4 linked regions of the Mus musculus genome follow. The protein of the gene in region 2 interacts with the protein of the main gene of each other region in a biochemical or structural test. Links are inferred from orthologs where the notes say so. Each region holds a gene or a part of one and is shown on either strand. Other genes may lie near its edges.

Region 1 (4,765 bases), on a different chromosome or scaffold from region 2:
AATTGTGCTTGTATTACTATGTTTCCTGGCTATCATTAGTAACTTTTTATTCCCATCTATCTTCATGATAACAAGTATCATATTATATATTACATCTTTTTTATCAAGGGGTTCTCTGTTCCCAGCATAGTAAGTTTTGCGGCATACATAAGACATTATACAGGCCAGGCGTGGTGGTGCACGCCTTTAATCCCAGCACTCGGGAGGCAGAGGCAGGCGGATTTCTGAGTTCGAGGCGAGCCTGGTCTACAGAGTGAGTTCCAGTACTGACAGGGCTACCCAGTGTTCTTGAAGGTGTAACAGATACTCTTCGGCTTGCAAGTCAGAATATAATTTAATTATAACAGTCCATATTTTTCCAGCCGTGAGTTTGGATGCTGCAATAATTGTAGTGACAATACGTTGCCTATACTTGCTAACTTGTAAATGTATAAGTTGTTAAATTTCAATTAAAATTGTTCAAGTAACAGTCTTTATTAGCCTTAAAGAACAAATTCATTTAGAAAGATAATAGTAATAGTATTGGTGGTAGATCTAATTTTAAAATTTGGTTCATACATTGGTAGAACTTTTATGTATTTCTTATACAATCAGCACTCCCCAAACTCATCAGCCTTTACTGTTTTTGAAATATTTATAAGAAACAAAACAGCCAGCCTACACACACCATTGTGACAGGTTATCATTTATTAAATGTTATTACTGGAAGACACCTCAGAAATCAAGTAGAGAAAACAAATGGTACACAGGGTCCTGGAAGGAAGTGACAGGCTTAGGTCCTTCATAGTGTTCAGTATATTGGGACCTAGGAAACCAGATGTAAATATCGTGTGTGCAGTGTGTGGGGACAAGCACGTGGGGCTGGAAGCAGCTGTCGTAACTCGGTTGATCTGCACATTGCTTTTTATGTTTTTTTTGAGTCAGGGTTTCTCTGTGTAGCCCTGGCTGTCCTGGAACTCACTCTGTAGACCAGGCTGGCCTCGAACTAGAAATCTGCCTGCCTCTGCCTCCTGAGTGCTGGGATTAAAGGCGTGCGCCACCACTCTCGGCTGCACATTGCTTTTTGAGACAGGGTTTCTCACTGAACCTGGAGCTTACGATTCAGGTAGCAGGCCTGGTCAGAGACGGCCTTGTGTCTCCACTGAGCTTCCATGCAGTGCTGTCAAGCCTGGCTTTTTACATCGGTGCTGGGGCTCAGTTGCCTATATGGCAAGATCTTGACTGGCTGGGCCATCTAGCATCAGATCTGCTTTGTTGTGGCAGTGGTGGTTTGGGGGATTTTTATATATATTTGTTTATGGGGGAGGGAGGGAGGTTGGCCTACATCAGAGTGAAGTTGTCAGGCTTCACAGCATCTGCTGAGCCTTTAAGAAACATGGAGCTTGGGGGGGTGGAAAACCTCAAAATCCTCATCGATGGACATGATGTACCTGCCTGTAATCCCAGCACTCAGGATTATAGAGCTTCTGTCTCCAAAATCAAAATATAAAATAAAACTGAAGCCTTATGCTTAATGTGTAAGTTCAATAGTCAACCAAATATAGCAAGCACAAAAAGATAAAACCAATTGGGGCGGGGGGGGGGTGTGTCTATATCTGTGATTTAAACTTCAGTGCTAATTTTTTTTAGAAAATCCATTAACTGTCTCCTTTATTTAGGGACCCATTACAAACTTGAGCAGAGCCAGGAGAAAAGGCTGATATGGTCATACAGATCTATTCAGGAGAAAAGACTGCTAGGGTCATATAGATCCATTCAGGAGCTTTGGGCAGAATTGTTGATTCCTAAGCTAGCCTGGGCTGTATACACCATTGACCCTGTCAGTGAACAAATATGAAACTGTTCACTAAAATATTCATTATTCTCTTTGATTCATAGTATAGTCCTTGAATAATCAGAGGATAGTCCTAAGAAAAAAATTTTAAATGCTTATATTATCCCACTTTCTGCCAGAAGTCCTGTAGATACACTCTATAGTAAAGGGAACTAAAGACAACTGGGAGGTGGCCGGGGGCGACCAACATTTTTTTCCTAATTTGTAAACACATAAAGTAGCTGTTTTGCAAGCATGAAGGCTGGTGTTTATATACCTAGCAGCCATGGAGGGCACAGCGCCCACCTGTGACCCCTCTCTCGATGATGGGATGATATGGTTAGCTGTCTAACCACAGCAGCAGGCTCTGGTGAGTCAGGTGGAGTGATCCGAGGCAAACAGTACCAACCTTAGGCCTGCACATACATGTGCACCCACTAACATGTAGACCTGCAAATTACATGCACTTAGCAGGTGTGCAGGAGAGGTGACTCGGTAAGTAAAGTGTAAGGAGAGAGAGAACCCCAAAAGCTGCCCCAATCTCTGTTAGGTGGGCTCTACACATCATACAGTGAGAAATAAGTGTGTAAAGGAATTACAGGTGATACACTATATAGGGAAAGTATATGTAATAGTGGTTATGTGCTCAGTAAATCTATATTGTAATCTATAATGGGAATCAGAAGGATGTTAATGTTGGGAAAGAAACCAGGTGTGTGACCGCAAACACAGTGACGGGTGGTGAGCGAGCGCCCTGTGCAGCAGACGCACTGTGCAGACACCACAGTGCGGCTCAGACTAGAGCGTGTGGAAGGCCCTCCCATCCCCAGGACCGCAGCCGGGGAAGAGAAGAACCCTGAGCACGGGAACTGCTGTGGAGGTTATTGCTGGTGATTGGACTCTGCTTTGCATTGTAGTTCACAGATCTTTCAGCTAATGATACCATTTGGAAAAAGAAAAAGCTGTCATGACTAACCTTTGCAACCGCTACTTAACTGTTCATTAATTTAGCAATTATAAAAACAAAACCATTTTCTTCTCAATTGAAAAACAGATATTCTGCCTCCACGGTGGCCTGTCTCCATCCATAGATACACTGGACCACATAAGAGCCCTGGATCGCTTGCAAGAAGTTCCACATGAGGTGATTTTCGAAGTTACTTCATTTATTTTGATTTTAAGGGAGAAAAAAGTGTAATCACATATGGGAAGGGTAACTCAATTAAGTATCCTAACTCACAGTGCACACATATTCTTTCTCCTTATCCAGGGCCCAATGTGTGATCTCTTATGGTCAGATCCGGATGACCGTGGCGGCTGGGGCATTTCTCCACGTGGTGCTGGCTACACATTTGGACAAGACATTTCTGAAACATTTAACCATGCCAACGGTCTCACACTGGTGTCTCGTGCTCACCAGCTTGTAATGGAAGTATGTACTTTTCCTGCTCTCGTGGTGTACGCATGCACCCGTCATAAGGCTTCATAATACCTTCAGTAGGGGCTGGAGAGATGGCTCAGCAGTTAAGAGCACATTGCTCTTCCAGAAGGCGCTCAGTAGAGACTTGAGCTCAGTGAGATGATGACTCCATGCTGCTTAGAGGAGCACACTGAGGAGTGTGCTTGCTGTGTGTGTCCTTGCTACATTTCACCAAGGAGGTTTGAAAGCTGTTTGTCCACTGCTGGTTCTATTCCGTGACCACTCAGTTGAGGTAGCAATTGCTGGATTTCTCCTGTTGTGTTAGTGTTGTCACTACGAAAGGAATAAACGAGAACGGAGTCCCTCTAACCAGCAAGTAGTGGCTTTAAGAAGGTAGAACAAACTTCACCAGCCTAGAGCAGGCGAGGAGTGGGGTAGGGGCAGGATGCAAAGCACATACACGAAGTGACATTAAACTTCATTATACTGGCAAGCACAGATGTCAGTGATGATAATATTTTTGGAGAAAAAATTTGACTAAGCTTTAACATTCCTAAAAGTCCTGAGACTCCAAAATTAGAAAATAATCAAATTTCAGCTATTTGAGGCAAAACTGAAACATTTAACATAACAAAGATGAGAATGGTGTGCTATGTGTCAAGTAAACACCACCCAACATCACGAGTGATGGAAGGCAGAGGCTCTGACACAGGTGACAATGTGATTGTCAAGATGGCTGGTTAGCATGGGCTCAGCTCTCTGGGAGAGCATATTCTAAGTTGGTATTTGCCTAATACGAGTTTCAAGCAAACTTAGTAGCAAACTTTAGAAGCCAGGCTCATTTCTATCATGTCTCAGCACTTGGGAGGCTGGGGCAATTGCAAGTTTGAGAACAGGGTAGTCTAAATAGCAAAATTCTTTCTCAAAATAAAATAAAATACTTAGCAAAGTTTATGAAGGAAAATGGGGAAGTTACTATGGTTTTCTGAGAAATTCAGTGTATATTCTAAGTTAAAATCTTAAGTGTAGGTTAAGAAAAGCTGTATGGTTACTGAGGTATATAATAGAATCTTGTACCTAATAAATGTTTAAAAGTCTGAACAGTTGCATAAACTTAGATTATAAAAGGTAACATAGCCACCGAAGTATTTGTGACTTGATCTGTCAAAATTGGATTTTATAATGAAACAATGACCTTTTTAATGTTGCAGGGATATAACTGGTGCCATGATCGGAATGTGGTCACCATTTTTAGTGCGCCCAATTACTGCTACCGTTGTGGGAACCAGGCTGCTATCATGGAATTAGATGACACTTTAAAATATTCATTGTAAGTAACTTTACATTTTAATTGTATGTAATGACTTTTAGAGGAAAATAGCCTTGGGAGCTGGAGAGGTGGCTCAGCAGCTCAGAGCACTTAACTACAGTCTAGTATGACTTCCATAGATACCTGCACACATGTGTGCATACACTCATACACACATGCATGTATGAAAAGAGACAGGAAGCCGGGCGTGATGGCACATGCC
Region 2 (5,217 bases):
TGAGTTTGAAAATATGTAATTTCTCAACTATGCAAAAATATAAGGAAGCAATATAAATTGTATAAAGGGTTTCTCAGGTATAAAGGAACAGAGGTAGCTGCACTATGAGCCAACCTGTCAGAAGGATACCAAGGAAGGAAACAGAGATTTAGGGAGTGGTAATCAAAAGGAAAGATCCCACCCAGCTAAGTATTTTCTTGTTGTTTATACTTAAAAATGCAGGCAGATTCCTGAGGTCAGGGTCAGCCTGGGACAGAGCCAATCTAAATTTAGGTCTAGTCATGGTGGAAATGATAATCTCAGGATAAGGTTTCACCCAGCTAAATTTACAAAGACAGGCAGATCTCTGAATTCTTTTGCAAAAAAGGAGAAAAAAATAAATATATACTTGCTGTCCTTTGCTTAAAAGCCAAGGGACTACGGTCATGGAATGCTGATTCGTGGTATGTTCAAGAAAGAACCTGGAATAAATAACTGAGTTGATATGGAAATTTAAAATAATGGGCTTTTGGTCTGCATGATGAGCTAGCAGATTGTATAGCCCTGGCTGTCCTGGAACTCACTTTGTAGATCAGGCTGGCCTCGAACTCAGAAATCCGCCTGCCTCTGCCCTCCAGAACTTTTTTTATACTAAGAGCTGAGCTGTCTGTCTGGAGATTCTCTGGGAAACAAAAACAGCTCTTCTAAGAAATTTTTTAAACAGGATTTCTGATTTTGGTTGGAAAAATCTATGGAGAGAGAACATGGTGGTGCCTGGCTGGTTCTATCTTCATAAAGACTTCCTACAAAGCACTGGTGTAGGTGTGTGCGGAGACTTTTCACAGGGCCCTAACCAAATCTCCTGGTAGGCAGGCTTGGCCTGCAGAGCTACATATGGATTCACCACCCAAAGTGACGGCACAGGAAATGGGGAGCTCCACACACACTCACAGGTGCTATCTCAGTTATGCGGTCCAAATCTGAGAACTCTGCTCTGCCAGTGCCTGAAAACCTGAACTGCATCACAGGACATTGCCCTGAGCAGTCTCTGGATACTGCTGTGTCTCCTGCTGCCCTCCTGCTGGATCCCAAGTGCACGCTCTTGTGATAGCAGGAGTGACATCTGCAGGAAGGTCTCCTCAGAGAAAGCAAAGAACAAGCCACAAGGCAGTGGGCTTTCCTCCATTCCGATTACTAAGACTAGAGAACCAAGTATTTCTACACCTTTATTTCTCCGTGTACAGTAGGGAAAGGAATAAAATAAAAATGGCACAATTGACACACAAAAAACATGGTTGGGGTTGGGAAAGGGTGGTGGTAAGTAGATGGGGGAGGGGTCCCCATTACAGCAGCAAAAGCCAGTGACCTAGGATGCTCCCATCTCTCCCAATATGGGCAGGAACAACCAGCCCTTCTTTTCAGGCTGCTGTCCTGCAACAACTTGTACTGCTCCAGCCCCTTGGGAGGTGGACAGAGAAGTCTTCCCAGGCTACAGAGGAGGAACCGAACCGTGCTGGGGGAGGAGCCTGGGGTCAGACCATGCACAGGGAGTGACAGTCATTTGCCCCCACCACCTCCCTAAGGGAGGTAACTTTGTGGGGGTTGGAGGGTGGACACCAGAGGCCGGCAATGCTTCTTCTTCCAGCATCAGGCAAGAGAGAGAACTGGGGAAACAAGAACAATACGCCTCAGAACCACACCACATTCTCCAACCACATTTCTGAGTGCTGCCCCATTCCCCGGAGCCCTCACCCTTCTGCCAGAGGCTCTACACTCTCAGGCCCTTACCAGTCAGAGCCTCCTGGGCAAAGTACTTGACATCCACATCCTGGTCCTGGGTCAGCTTCTCCAGGATGGGCTTGACTTCACTCTGCAGGGTGCTGGAAAGTGAAGGGAAAAGAAGATAGTGAGATAGTCTTGCCTTGGATGGATGGATGTGTGTGTGTGTGTGTGTGTGTGTGTTCGGGGGTGGGTGGGGTGGAGGAGTTGTGCCCACAGGTAGAAAGAGGGCTCCGGTGAAGGTAAGTATCAAGACAGGAACACACCAAATCATAAGGCAGAGTATAGAACATGAACACACAAAGCATACACATGGAAAATTCCTGATCTCTAGGCTTGTAATCAAATAGTTAAGCAGGGAAAGCTCTTGGGTTAGCACAGGACATGAGCAAGTCTGACAAAGTAGAGCCCACAGGCCTTGAAGCTGAGCAAAAAGATTCCTTTAGTGACTGAATCCATGTTCACTGAGGTATTGTATACTTAGTATGAATACAAAAATATATCACTCTAGATTCTTGCTCAGATAAGCCAAGACTACAAGACAAGGCCAGTAAGTGGCAAGATGATCAAAGGCTTCTTGGTTTTAAGGGGCCTAGAAGTGGCATATACTCTTTATGTAAGGAGACATGGAGGAATATGCCTATCCTGTAAGGAAGGAAGACAGACCTTGGAGAGAAAGGCTGTGGAGCAACTATGAGACACACAGGCATCAAATGTTGGCAGACCGCTCCTCTATCCTCCATATAACCACTGTCTTCATTTCTACCTCCTAGAGTTATGCTTTTGTTGTTATTTGCTTGCTTGCTTTGTTACTTTTTGGGAAGCAGGTCTTTCTATATAACTTTATGTTATCTCAAGCTACATATCCCATCCTGGTCTACAACTCGACCCTCAAGCATCAACCACCAGAGTGTGCTGGGAATTCAGCAGCTGCCTACCACTGTGCCTAGCATTTTGACTTTTTCCCTCGAATATTCTTTCTGCCCCCCAACCCCCCCCACCCCGCACTCTTTGCATTCCTCTTCCCTGCTGTGTGTGTGTGTGTGTGTGTTTGTGTGTGTGCGCCCAGGCACATGTGCATGTGAATGGACACCATCTGTATGTCTTCAGAAGCCCGAGATGGGAACTAGAATTAAAAGCATGAGTGATCTTAAGTACACATGATGTGAGATAAGTCCAGGCCCTCTCAAGAGAAGCTAGTGCTCTTAACCCCTGAACCATTATCTCTCCAGACCCATATTAACTATTTTAACTCATACTCTGTACCAGCATTTGGATTATTCTTTCTTATGATTATAATATATAAGCCCACCACATTTTCAAGGGGTTGAGGGGGTAGCAACACTGAGTACTGTCTAAAAGCAAGGGCTGGATTAGGGTCTACATCTAGCTAGCTGGATCCTTCCAGTTAAAATGCTCATCCTATCTGCACTACAATTCCCATAGCACGATGTTCAGCCGAGTATTTCAGCTGTAACCTGTGCTATGTTAACAGCGTACACTGCAGAGCACCTAGTCGATGTCCTCACTGAGCATGTGAAGACAGTACTTTTAAACTGAAACAAAAGCACAAGTTACCTCATTCTCATATTTTCACATATATTAATTTTGACTACCTTCCTTCCTCCCCTCTCTCAACCCTACTTGTAGCTCTCATCTTCCCATACTCCCACTTGAATGTCATATGCCATACTTTCCTCTATGTCTTCTTCCCATGTGTATCATGGGAATTCTTTATCTTCCTATATATAGGATACTAGAGGAGTTCTTTATATAGAAACATCTCCACACTGTCAGGTTAGCCTTCTGATACACAGCTTTTCATTTTCTTGAGGGCCATCTTATCAATCACTTCTTTTGGCATCTTAGCAGGTTTATGTCCAACTCAAGACATGAAGACATTCTATATTTTCTACATGTTTTATTCATCATGCTGGTTCTAGCTCAAAAACTAATTTGTTTATGTAGAGGCAGAAATTCTGTTTGGGTTTATGTGGGCAACCAACTGATCCAGTCAGTTTTAGAAGACAGACACTTAGCCATCAAACTACAATGGTACCAGAGTGCTCTAGAAAATATTCTAGTGAGACATGAATATCCTGTCCCTGCCCCATGCTGTTTCTAAATTATGTGTCAGGTAGACTTGAGGTGCATAGTTTTGTTCTTTAGGATGTATGGGCTAGCCAAGCACTCTGCATTCCCAGGCCAGTTCCTACTAAAACTCTGCTGATATATAATGGCCTCAAATATAAGTACAGGGAATGAAGACTATATGTTTACCAAAGCTTCCTGTGGCAGTGCTTAATAGTTTCCCTAGAAATGTTAAGTATATTTCATTACATGTATTTTTTTTTTCTTCTTGTTTTTTGAGACAAGGTTTCTCTCTATAGCTCTGGCTGTCCTGGAACTCATTCTGTAGACCAGGCTGGCCTCGAACTCAGAAATCCACCTGCCTCTGCCTTTCTTTTTTCATTGTACTCTAGAGAAATGAATTCTTATTCTAAAACAGAGAAGATAGACTTTGTGGAGAGGAAAGAACAGGCATGGGTCACAACGCATAAAGAAATCAGACCCTGAGTTCTGTCTTTAAATATCTAAGATGTTTAGAACCCCCAGACCTCACCTGTTATCAAGAATGGGTCCTATCTTCTGGAGTGACTTGGCCACATTGAAGCGGACATTGGCAACTGGGTCCCCTGCCATACGAAGAACTGTGGGCAGCATGTGCTTGGTGGTGATATCCTGTCCACAGACCTCAGACAACACCTGAAAACCAGTGAATGGCAGAAGTACAGTTATGCAAGGCTTACTGCTAAGTCCCCATATATCTTCTTCTGAATATGCTGCCTGAGTCATCATCAGGACCCAGGAGCAACATGGAAGGGTATGGGTCTAGAAGCATGACTGTGGGGAGTTCTAAAATCCCTAACACAGTCTTCACTGGGGATGTTTCAGACTTTATATCTGGACTTCCATCATTCTCAGCATTTGAGAGGTCTGGATTTCTATCCCCTGAAATGCCACCTTCATAACGGAATCTCGAAATTGTAGCAGAGGAAATAAGCAAAATGTTTACTTAAGATTGTTTCTAACCCATCTTTAGCTTCTAGCTTGTGTAGGATTTACATGTCACTAAACAGTATAAGAAGTAAAACACAACTAAAAATGAGTAGTAAGTATATTCTGACACAGAATCAGAACTGTTCTATGCTCTCTATTATTACATTATTTTTCACATCCTGTTGAAAACCACCATAAATCTCAAAAGATGAGAAAACCAAACTACTAACTGGTTAGGTCCTATGATGTGTGACAGAAGCATGTGTTCTCCTTCCCAACCAGTAGAGGTGCACAGAATATGAGGCTGCTGCTCTCATACAGAAGCCTCCCAAACTTGGATCTCTCACCATGCAATCTTGGCCCTGTAGAGACCCGATCAAATACTGCAGATTCAAGCAT
Region 3 (4,765 bases), on a different chromosome or scaffold from region 2:
TGCCTGCCTGCCTGCCTGCCTGCCTGCCTGCCTATCTATCTATCTATCTATCTATCTATCTATCTATCTATCTATCTATCTATCTATCTATCTATCTATCTATCTATCTATCTATCTATATCTACTCTGTCACTTTGTAACAGGAAAGGGAGATCTATTTACTCTGTTTTGTGTGCCTGGTTTGTTGAAACATTGCTCTTGAGTACTTAGCAGCTCTGGTAGGTACCTGCCTATTCTGTAGGATGGAGCCAGTACATGAGCTGAGGGGTTTAGGAGCTGGCACCTCAGCAGCTGTGTTCTTTGTTTGCTAGAACGTGGGACTTTAGGTTTCAGGACCCTTTGTCCAGTGTCTGAACTCAGTTCACTCACTTTGGCTGATGCAGGAAGAAGAATCCCTCTGGTCCTTTAGAGTTAGCAGTGGCTTGAGACATCTGTGAGGCAGGGTTTCTCTTTAAGGGCCATAAGGGCTGTATGCCCTTGTGGAGGGTCAATAATCCTTCCTGAGCGGGTTTTCAAATGTCTTGAACACGTGTGCCTAATCACTCCTGACAAGTCTGTCTACTAACAGTTTATTACTCTGTCCCCTTGATTGATAGGAGTCAATCACCATATGGCCCGTTCAGATTACGGCTTTGTGTTTCTCCTAATGGACTTCATGCTCTCTCACCAGGAAGAGGAAGAACAGGAGGAAGAAGATGATGATGAAGATGATGATGATACTGATGATTTAGATGAACTAGACACTGACCAGTTGCTGGAGGCAGAACTGGAGGAGGATGACAACAATGAGAATGCAGGAGAGGATGGAGACAATGACTTCTCTCCCTCTGATGAGGAGCTAGCAAACCTTCTAGAGGAGGGAGAGGAGGGGGAAGATGAAGACTCTGATGCAGATGAGGAGGTGGAGCTGATCCTGGGGGACAGTAAGTACAGGGCAGAGTCTGGGCGAGCCGCTGCACCCAGGCCAGGTCCTTCTGCTGTCCCAACCCATTCCAGAAGACAGCTGGGCTTGAGTTCTGCTGCCTCTCCACTCTGGCCCCTGAGGAAAAGCCCTGAGACATTAGTCAGCCTCTTCTCCCGTCAGACTCTATAGCCATCAGGTGGCTCCTCCTCTTAACTCATAAGCGAAGGTTTGCACACTTTTCTGTCAGAACAAAGGCAGTGCTTCTTTGCTTCCTGGGTCGTGTGGGCCCTGTCACAGCCTCAGATCCCCTGTAGTGAGGAGAAGGCAGTCACAGGCCAAACATGAAGTGATATTTAGAGCTGTGTTGCAATAAAACTTATTTACAAAATAGGTAGTGAGCTTATAGTTTTTGAATTCCAGCTTTAAAGTATTGGACTTAGAAAGGTGGAAGCATGGCTGTCACCTGAGGGTCTGGCTGAGGTCAGTTTGAAGCAGCTCTTCACAGGCTCCTTTGCCTCCGTGGCCGCTGTGTATAGATTAAGGGCCTTGTGTGGGAGAGCCTCTCCTGGCTGCTTTTGACCAGTCTCTCCTGAAGGTTGAGGAACCAATGCATCTGTCTTGTTCATTTCACCCTACCCCACTTCTTGTTCAGAACTCTAAAGAACAAACTCCAGTTTGTATAGTAATTTCCCACTGGTGGGTTTCTGAAGCCATTCCTATCATTGTTATGAATTCCCAAATAATCAGCTTTAAGACTGGGCAAACATTGTACTCTTGACATGTCTCTGTTGCCACGAGCGTGCCACTGTTGGCAGTTCTGGCTGCGGTCCTGAGTCTTATACTGATCGCTGCCCTGCCTGAGTGAAGAGTGATTCCTGTCTCACTTAGCTGGTATATATATATATATATATACCCAGCGTCCTTACAGGCATGGTAGGTGCTGTGTCTGATAATAGCAGCCACGTAGCACGGAGGGCTGTTGAAATATAATTAAATTAAAAATTAGCTTTTCATTTCCAATTGCTCTGTAGCATATGTTGCTATCGTGCTGAGCAGTAAGAACACATACATTTATATCATTTTATATCATGGCAAAGTTGTATTTTGGTGGCCTAGGTCAAGCAAACTTAATGGTGCTCTATCAGCCAGCCTCCTGTTTATGATCATGCTTCCTGGTAGGAGAGGTGGGTGGCAGTGTGCTTAATATAGAAACTTCTATTACATGTACTGTGCGCACACAATACTGCTCCTCTACCTGATGTAAGTTCATTTTCTTTCGGACAAATATCACTATGTGCTTATCGAGTTGGGACTGACAGTTGATTAAGTCCTCTTATCATATTTGAAGAAGGTCTTGGTGAGAGTGGGGTTGCTTATACCCACCTAGCTGTGGTGTATCATATTCAAAGGTTGAGATGATTCTGTGGGTTAACCCCTGGCCATGACCTCTGAGAGCTAGATAAGGACCCAGGGACATTTTAAATAAAACTTTAATAGTGAGGTGTTAGAGACAAAATTTTACCTCCCTTCAACAGGTTAGTAATGCAGGTTAGTTAGGTGGGCTCAGTCTACAGCAGGTGGCTGGAGCCACCTGCACTTGTAGGAGTGTCACTTGAGTTGCTTTTTTTGTTTTGAAATTAAAAATACTTTACCAAAACCCAAGATTTAAAGAAGTTTCCAGATAGACAAGACTAGTCAAAAGCTCCTTTTGAAGGAGAGACCCAACAAAGTTAGAGTATAACAGGGTGGCAGTACTGTCATTGGGTGTTCCATTTTGGTTTGGTTGGGCCTTTTCCTCCCCAAGCCTACTTAGAGTGAGAAGTGGCTAGACAGAGTTCAGAAGACCCGAGCTCATGCTTTTAACCAGTACAGTGAGGTCTCCATGAAAAGGGGAGGGGGTAATCTAGACAATGAAAATAAAACTACTTCCCCATCAAAGATAAAAGAGAGAAACCTTCCTTCCCCCTACTCTAACCCTGACAACTGCCTTCATTCACAGGGCTGTGTACTTATTCCATGATGGGGCAGTGAATGAGAGCAGAGAGCCGCTCGCTACCAGTGACGGTGTCCCAACAATCCAGATGACACTTCCAGCTTCTGCTCATGCCTTACAACAGTAAATGAGACATAGATGTGCTAATGTGCATTTAATCACCAGAGGAGCGAAGATATCTGGGCTTTTTTATTCTGTAATGTTTCTAAGCCTGTACCCATTAAATACAAAGAAAAATGGAAGGAGTCTTGGCAGAACAGCAGGGACACACCCACATGGTCATGAGAGGGGGTTGAACTGTTGTTACTCACGGCAAGGAGCCTGATCCGTGCTCCAACTTTTTCTAGGGCTTGGACTTGGCTCTTTTCATAGCACATTCCTAGTGCTGGGGACTACTTGCCTTCCACATACTTTAGCTAATCCTAGGTTGCTTGCATTGGGATGATACATTTTGGTCATGAAACATATTTCTAAGTTCTACATTGGGTCTTACTGTGGCAGACAGTTGACATGTAAGCGCCTCTTTGAGGGGGACTCCTGGGCAGCAGTGGCCATATGGTTCATTGCCCTCAGCTATTTATGACACAGGTGACCAACAAGGGCTCGGCCAACAGTGCTTGGATTTGCTCCATTATACAGGGCAGCGTGGTCCTCTCAGATCCTGAGTTTGCCCTGGCTGCCTAACATATTTTGCTTCATGACCCAGGTTGGCCTCAAGTTCCCCAACCCTTCTGTCTTCACTTTCTGAGTGCTAGGATTACAGGCATGTGCCACCACACCCAGCTTCAGGTTTTCCATTCCTAATTTGAATATAAACCCTCTCAATTTGTATTTGGTAACAGTATACCCTCTTTTCAGAATTTTGCTTAAATTCTAAAAATTAACTCTCTTAAAGCAAAGGTAATTTGGAAAACTCTTTTAAGTTACAAGAATATTGTTACTATAACCTGGGTGTAAACACTGACATAAAATACATGACATTTGAACATTTCTGCTTGCACTCTGAGGTGGAGACACAGCTGTCACCTACAGGTTGTCTTTTAGTGCTCTTCCCTGTGTTTTCTGGTCTGTCCTTTGTGGATGTTGCTATCCCTCATGACTGTCAGTGGAGCAGACTGATTGTACTGACCCCTCATTTACAAGTGTTATTACAAGCGTCACTCTGCTTGTCTGGAGGAACCCAACCTTCCTCAACTTATGGAGCCTTTCTGTGGTCTGGTGAAATTCATAGAACCATAGCTGTGGGTCACCATGTGACTTTGCACAGTTCCTGAGTCATGCAGGGTATAGCTTCAGATACAAACCTGTCCTTGAAAGAGAGGCATATTGTCTTCAGGGGTCTTTTCGTCTATGCTTCTGGGGACCCCTTGCTCTTAAGCCTGGATATTGTAGGGCAACAGCAGCTCAAAACCCTGGGATTATTATAGTTCATTTGCCTTTGCTGCAAAGACTTTTTAGAATAGGAGGTCCTGACCACAAGTTAGGGTCACTGCAGCATTTGGAGCTGAGAAAAGGCTAGGGCAGGTAGATAAAAGGAGCCCTGTCATCTGACCCATGGCTGCGGTGTGAGGAAGGTCGCAGTGGTGTTTGATAAGCGGTGTTCCGTCCTTAGATGTGAAGTCTTGGCTTTTTTTTTTTTTTTTTTTTTTTTTTTTGCTGTTGGGCAAAGGGTTGAAGCCCCTGTCTATTCTGGGGTATGTGTGTCTCAGGCAGGTGGGCCTGGCATTGTTGGCTCACCTGTAATGTTATCACTAGAGGGTCCTTCGGGGTCTGCAGAAGCACCTGGCAGGGCAGGTGCTGTGTGGCTCTGGGGAGTAGACAGTGCCTTCCTTCTTGAGTTTTTATCTCAGAGGAACTGCTGCGTCATG
Region 4 (5,221 bases), on a different chromosome or scaffold from region 2:
CACAACTTCAGGGCTCCCTCCTCTGTACTAGAGACACATACCTGAGGGGTCTTGTGGAAAGAGCAGCCTGTAGCCGGCCCAGCCCTGGCTTTAGCTGTGTTTGTTTCTACGTTTCAGCCACTTTAGGTAAGATTTAGTGCTAAGTCTGAGGGCCACAGAAAGCACTACAGTCCTTATTTCCTTCCTTCCTCCTTCCCTCCCTCTCTTCCCTCCTGACTGGATCTTGCTACATTGACCTTGCTGGCCTTGAACTCAAGTGCTAGGACTAAAGGTGTTTACCCAGCCGGTGTTGTCTATAAATCTTACTTCAAAGTCAGTAAGTGCTGGGCAGTGGTGGCGCACGCCTTTAATCCTAGCACTTGGGAGGCAGAGGCAGGCAGATTTCTGAGTTCGAGGCCAGCCTGGTCTACAAAGTGAGTTCCAGGACAGCCAGGGCTATTCAGAGAAACCCTGTCTCTAAACAAACAAACAAACAAACCCAAAGTAGGCAATGCTGTGTACGGTTCCAGAGGGCTTGTGGTCATCTAGAGAAAATCTTTGGCTGTTATAGAAGTGGATATTCTTATTTTCCAGAGGTCCAGATCATCACCCACCCTAACTTTGCAGGAGTCAGACACCATCCCAGCAAGGCCACCAGCCACTAGGCTCTGTATATGTGTAGTCCATGCCTTAGGGGAGGCCATCTGGCTGGAGGCCTCTAAATGTTTTGCTGAGCAGTTGCTGTTGCTTGCTGCAGTTCCACCAGTAGTCACCAGGTGTCACCAGCAACATACTCAGTATATCTTGGTGGCGGCTTGGACTCAGGATCGCAGACACTCTAGAGTGACCTTGGTTCCTGTCACCTCTGTCCAGACCCAGAACAGTCCCCAGTTCTGTTCAGTCACAGATGTGCTATGTCACCTCAACCAAAGCCTCCTGAGCCTTTTTGAACTGTATCGCCAGCGCATTATCCTTCCTGGTATCAGGGCCTGGCTTATTGCTCTGCCAGACACACGACAGCTGGGGCTGGCAGGTGTCTTAGATGGCCAGGGAGGGTCACTGCAAGAGTAGACTCCAGAGACAGTCAAGATCCTCCCACTTCTGTCAGGAGTGTCCTGCCATGAGGACGACATCCCCTGGAGCCTCAGGGACCAGTTCCCAGGACCCACCCTGATGTGACCCCAGCCACACCCCTTCACCTCCCACCCACTAACAAGGCTGTGACGCTCCACACCAGAAAGCAAACCACAAGCTTGAAAAGCAATTTTTATTGAATTTGGAGGGACAGTTTCTTATTATAATAGTAAAAATGCTGAAGCTGAATGTTGTAAAAAACGACATGGTGCAGCAATGGCCAGCGTCTGGCCGGGAGGGGACAGGCCAGGGTGACGGACAGCGGGAGAGGGAAAGCATCTAAAAGGACAAGTGCTAGGAGAAGGGCTCACGTGAGGCAGGCGCTCCCAGGGTACCCGCTAAGAGCCACCACGCGGGAGCGGGTGCGGGAGGGCAGGGGCTCTCCTGTCACCAAGATTAAAATCCCCTAAATGTCTCTGAACAGCATGGGACACAGCAACAAACTGGATTCTTGTTCCTCTGTCAACCTCACTTGAGCCCTGGCCATCCCATCCAGCCCTAGGGCTGAAGCAGCTGTGACCTCTCCCCGCCCAGAGGGAGAGGGCCAGTTAGCATACCACAGGGGGGTGCTTCTGGTGCCTTCTTGCTGGACTTTGGCCCTGGACCCTAGAGACAGGTGGCGGCCAGGGTGGACAGGCCAATGGGGGCAGTGACGGGACCCACCCAGACCCATGAGCCCACATTGCACATGGTCGCGTCAGTCCTTAATAGTTTTCTACATGAATCTAATTGTTCTGGGCACTGAGGCCACATGTGTGGTCTCAAACTGGATGAAATAAATTAAGAAAAACCCCAGGATAGTTTTCCTCCTGACCTGGCTGGGAGGTAGGCTGCTGCCCACAGTAGAAACATCCTCCCCTGGTCCTGGAGGCTGGCAAGGTTCCTCCCCAGCGCATCCGAGAAACAAAACATCAGGTTCAGATGATCCATGCGGGGCTTCTGGACTCGGCAATGCAGAGGAGCGTGGAGCTGCCAGCCGCTGCCCCAGGCCTCAGGCTGTGCCACTGGCTGAGTAGGAGAACTGGGGGAAGTGCGGCCTCCGCTCACTGTCCACACACTCCATGCTGTCATCTGTGGGCCACAGGAGGGCTCAGACCATCTCTAGAAACAGCCCGCCCACCTGACACATGCCAGAGGATACAAGGGGGCCCTGTGAGGGGGCAGTGACTCTGGCCCTCAGAACACTCCCTCCCTCCCCGCCAAGCTGCTACCACCCTCCAAAGGGTTTGTTTGATTCTTTTAGTTTTGGGGCTGAGAGAGAGCTTAGTGGTTAAGAGCACTGGCTGCTCTGGTAGAGGACCCGGGTTCAGTTCCAGTGCCCACGTGGCTACTCACAACCACCTGTTAACTCCAGTTCCCCCCCAAAAAAAGCAGGAGTGCAAGCCAGACACTGAGGGGCCATGGAGTGGGGTGGCCTCACCTTGATCAGGCGGCGTGATGGTGATCATCTGAGCTGTGAACTCCTCATCGAAATACCTGGTGTCAGTCTCAGAGGTGACCTGGGGCTTGAAAGGTGGGCTCAGCTGAGGAGCAACAGAAGGCCTGGTTACTACTGGGTTCCAATCCCTCCATCCTCTCTGGGCAATACTGACCTTATCGGGTGGGCACTAGCACTAGGGAACAGCTCTAGGAGATGGAACTGGGTAGGGCAGTGTAGGCAGGGGAGAGCAAGCCCAGAGATGCCCAAAGTGACGAGAGGGTAGTGACTGCCCACCTCCAGGCAGTGGGAACTCCGTTCTCTGGTTGTCATTTCCCTTCTGAGTTTTTTTTTTTTTCTTCCCTTTCCATTTTTTGAAACTGGGGTTCTGTGTAGCCCTAGGAACTACCTCTGTAAACCAGGCTGGCCTCAAACTCAGAGATCCACCTGCTCCTGCCTCCCAGGTGCTGGGACTAAAGGCACACAGTGGCACCACCACAGCTGTGGCAGGACTCAAAGCAGTCTTCAGGTGAGCTCGCCTGCCTCACTGACAGCCCATGAAGAAGATAAGCTGCAGAGTGGTGTATGCACTGGAGGCTGCTAACATCCTTTTGGGTCTCACAGGCAAGGACCCTCAATTGCCATCCCTCCCAAATCTGGTGTGAGGGCAATGCGGACTTCATGGGATCTCTAGTTGAGTGTGGGCAGGAAAGGCATGCCATCCACACCCCCACATGCTGCTGGCCCCGTGTTATCTAGAAGGTACACTCAAGGCAGGGGGTAACAGGGCACCCAACACATCAAGGTAGAGTGTTGAGACCACCTGCTGTGTCCCTCATCAGCCTGGGCCAGGGGTACTTAGGAGCTGAAGAGAATCACACTTAGGGGTGAGTACAAGGGGCTCTGCTCTCTGCAGTGGCCTACACTGTGCCAGACGGGCAGGGGCCGTCCCAGAATGGGATTAGGCTCGCCCTAGAGTTGGAGACACCTAGACATTACCCCCCACCCTCGGCTAGCTTTCATCATAGGGCACATGAGGCGATCTCCAGGCAAAGGACAGGAGCAAGCAACAGGTGTAGGCAACAGGGGCACAATTGAGGGCCTGGAGAGGCCAGGTGACTGTGCGAGGTATGCAGGGCAGCATACTACCCTCTTCTGTGCGAGCGAGAAGGCTGTGCACAACCCTGTGGCTCTGTGGGGGCATGTGACTACACAAGGCTGTGGGCCCAGCATGCGTGTCTGAGCCAGCAAAAACAGGAGTGTTTGCATGTGTGCACACATGTGATCCAGAGATGGGCACAGTGGCCAGAGTGAGAGTGTTTATATGTATGCACACACGTATGTGATCCAGAGATGGGCACAGTGGCCAGATGCACACCTTCTTCTCATACACATCCTGCCACACGATGTTGGCAAAGAACCGGTGCTGCATGATCTCCTTGGCATCCTCGGAGCCCCCACCGAGCCTGTGGGTAGGAGACAGGTCCAGGGCTCAGACACTGCGTGCAAGGTGACAGGTCACGGGGATACTCGCAGGGTAGGGATACCCCTAGCTGCCTGACCACCCCACCCGACATGTGACTGAGACTGTGGCGGGTACAGTGGGCAGCAGCACTGTCTAGAGGCTGAGCCTGAAGCCCCGGCAGCCCTTACCTCTGTGTAGGGTCCTTCTTGAGCAGCCCGGAGAGCAGGGACTTGGCCTCAGGGCCGAGTGTGCGCGGGAAGCGGATCTCCTCCATGAGGATCAGCTCGAACAGCTTCTCGTGGTCCTGGTTGTAGAAGGGCAGGCGGCCACACATCATCTCGTACATGACCACGCCCAGCCCCCACCAGTCCACTGCACGGCCGTAGTCGTTGTCCTCCAGCACCTAGATGGGGGACTCTGTCAGCGTTGTGTCGGGGCGTGGGAGGATGTAAGGGAACACACAGGAAGTGGCAGAGCACCTCAGGGGCCAGGTACTCCGGCGTTCCGCAGAATGTCTTCATAGTGGCACCGTCCTTGATCCCCTCCTTGCACAGCCCGAAGTCCGTTATCTTGATGTGCCCGTCCTTGTCCAGCATGAGGTTCTCCAGCTGTGTGGGAAGGCGCTCAGTCAGTGAGGCCAGACCCCCCAGCCCCCACCCGCCCTGCTCCATAAGCACACCTTCAGGTCCCGGTACACCACGTTCTTCTCGGAGTGCAAGTAGTCCAGGGCAGACACAATCTCCGCACCATAGAAGCGGGCCCGGTCCTCGGAGAACACACGCTCTCGAGACAGGTGGAAGAAGAGCTGTGGGGTGGAGCGCGCTGAGGAAGGCCTGTGTGAGGGCCCGCCAACCCTTACCCACAGGCAGAGGGAAGGTTAGGAACTAGCCCCCAAAGAGAACTGGAGACTGCGAGACTCCAACTCAGCAGAAATAAGACATCCCCAAACGAGCAGCTACAGGCTCACATGGCCAGGGCTGGCAGCACCAGTGATCTGTACTACAGAGAGGGTTCAAAGCTCTCAGAGGGACAAGTTCACCCATCAAGTGCCCAGGTCTGAAGCTGCCTGTGGCCCTACCTCGCCCCCGTTGGCATACTCCATGACAAAGCAGAGGCGGTCGTGGGTCTGGAATGAGTACTTGAGGGCCTGGAATGGAAGCAGGGCAAGCCTAAGCACAGTGACACTGCCACCCCAAGATGGATCAGGGCACATCTTGGGTATCACC

Evidence for each region.
Region 1: the proteins of Ppp2r1a (region 2) and Ppp2cb form a complex in vitro, tested with the Homo sapiens proteins (2 studies listed by BioGRID and IntAct). The link is inferred for Mus musculus from reciprocal best matches to the Homo sapiens genes PPP2R1A and PPP2CB.
Region 3: of the proteins of Ppp2r1a (region 2) and Dcaf1, one has a biochemical effect on the other in vitro, tested with the Homo sapiens proteins (2 studies listed by BioGRID, with this or other methods). The link is inferred for Mus musculus from reciprocal best matches to the Homo sapiens genes PPP2R1A and DCAF1.
Region 4: the proteins of Ppp2r1a (region 2) and Akt1 form a complex in vitro, tested with the Homo sapiens proteins (2 studies listed by BioGRID and IntAct, with this or other methods). The link is inferred for Mus musculus from reciprocal best matches to the Homo sapiens genes PPP2R1A and AKT1.

The regions. Positions count from the first base shown.
Region 1 is NC_000074.6:33,612,583-33,617,347, forward strand, and holds part of Ppp2cb (serine/threonine-protein phosphatase 2A catalytic subunit beta isoform), read left to right. Parts: intron 1-2,867; coding exon 2,868-2,957; intron 2,958-3,083; coding exon 3,084-3,245; intron 3,246-4,444; coding exon 4,445-4,563; intron 4,564-4,765.
Region 2 is NC_000083.6:20,961,881-20,967,097, reverse strand, and holds the end of Ppp2r1a (serine/threonine-protein phosphatase 2A 65 kDa regulatory subunit A alpha isoform), read right to left. Parts: intron 4,525-5,217; coding exon 4,382-4,524; intron 1,860-4,381; coding exon 1,768-1,859; intron 1,644-1,767; coding exon 1,627-1,643; 3' UTR 1,193-1,626; downstream 1-1,192. UniProt on the Homo sapiens protein: The PR65 subunit of protein phosphatase 2A serves as a scaffolding molecule to coordinate the assembly of the catalytic subunit and a variable regulatory B subunit.
Region 3 is NC_000075.6:106,873,386-106,878,150, forward strand, and holds part of Dcaf1 (DDB1- and CUL4-associated factor 1), read left to right. Parts: intron 1-670; coding exon 671-923; intron 924-2,903; exon of another isoform or gene 2,904-3,020; intron 3,021-4,765. UniProt on the Homo sapiens protein: Acts both as a substrate recognition component of E3 ubiquitin-protein ligase complexes and as an atypical serine/threonine-protein kinase, playing key roles in various processes such as cell cycle, telomerase regulation and histone modification.
Region 4 is NC_000078.6:112,652,594-112,657,814, forward strand, and holds the end of Akt1 (RAC-alpha serine/threonine-protein kinase), read right to left. Parts: intron 5,143-5,221; coding exon 5,074-5,142; intron 4,801-5,073; coding exon 4,675-4,800; intron 4,604-4,674; coding exon 4,475-4,603; intron 4,399-4,474; coding exon 4,184-4,398; intron 3,997-4,183; coding exon 3,909-3,996; intron 2,637-3,908; coding exon 2,534-2,636; intron 2,185-2,533; coding exon 2,105-2,184; coding exon of another isoform or gene 2,031-2,104; 3' UTR 1,228-2,030; downstream 1-1,227. UniProt on the Homo sapiens protein: AKT1 is one of 3 closely related serine/threonine-protein kinases (AKT1, AKT2 and AKT3) called the AKT kinase, and which regulate many processes including metabolism, proliferation, cell survival, growth and angiogenesis.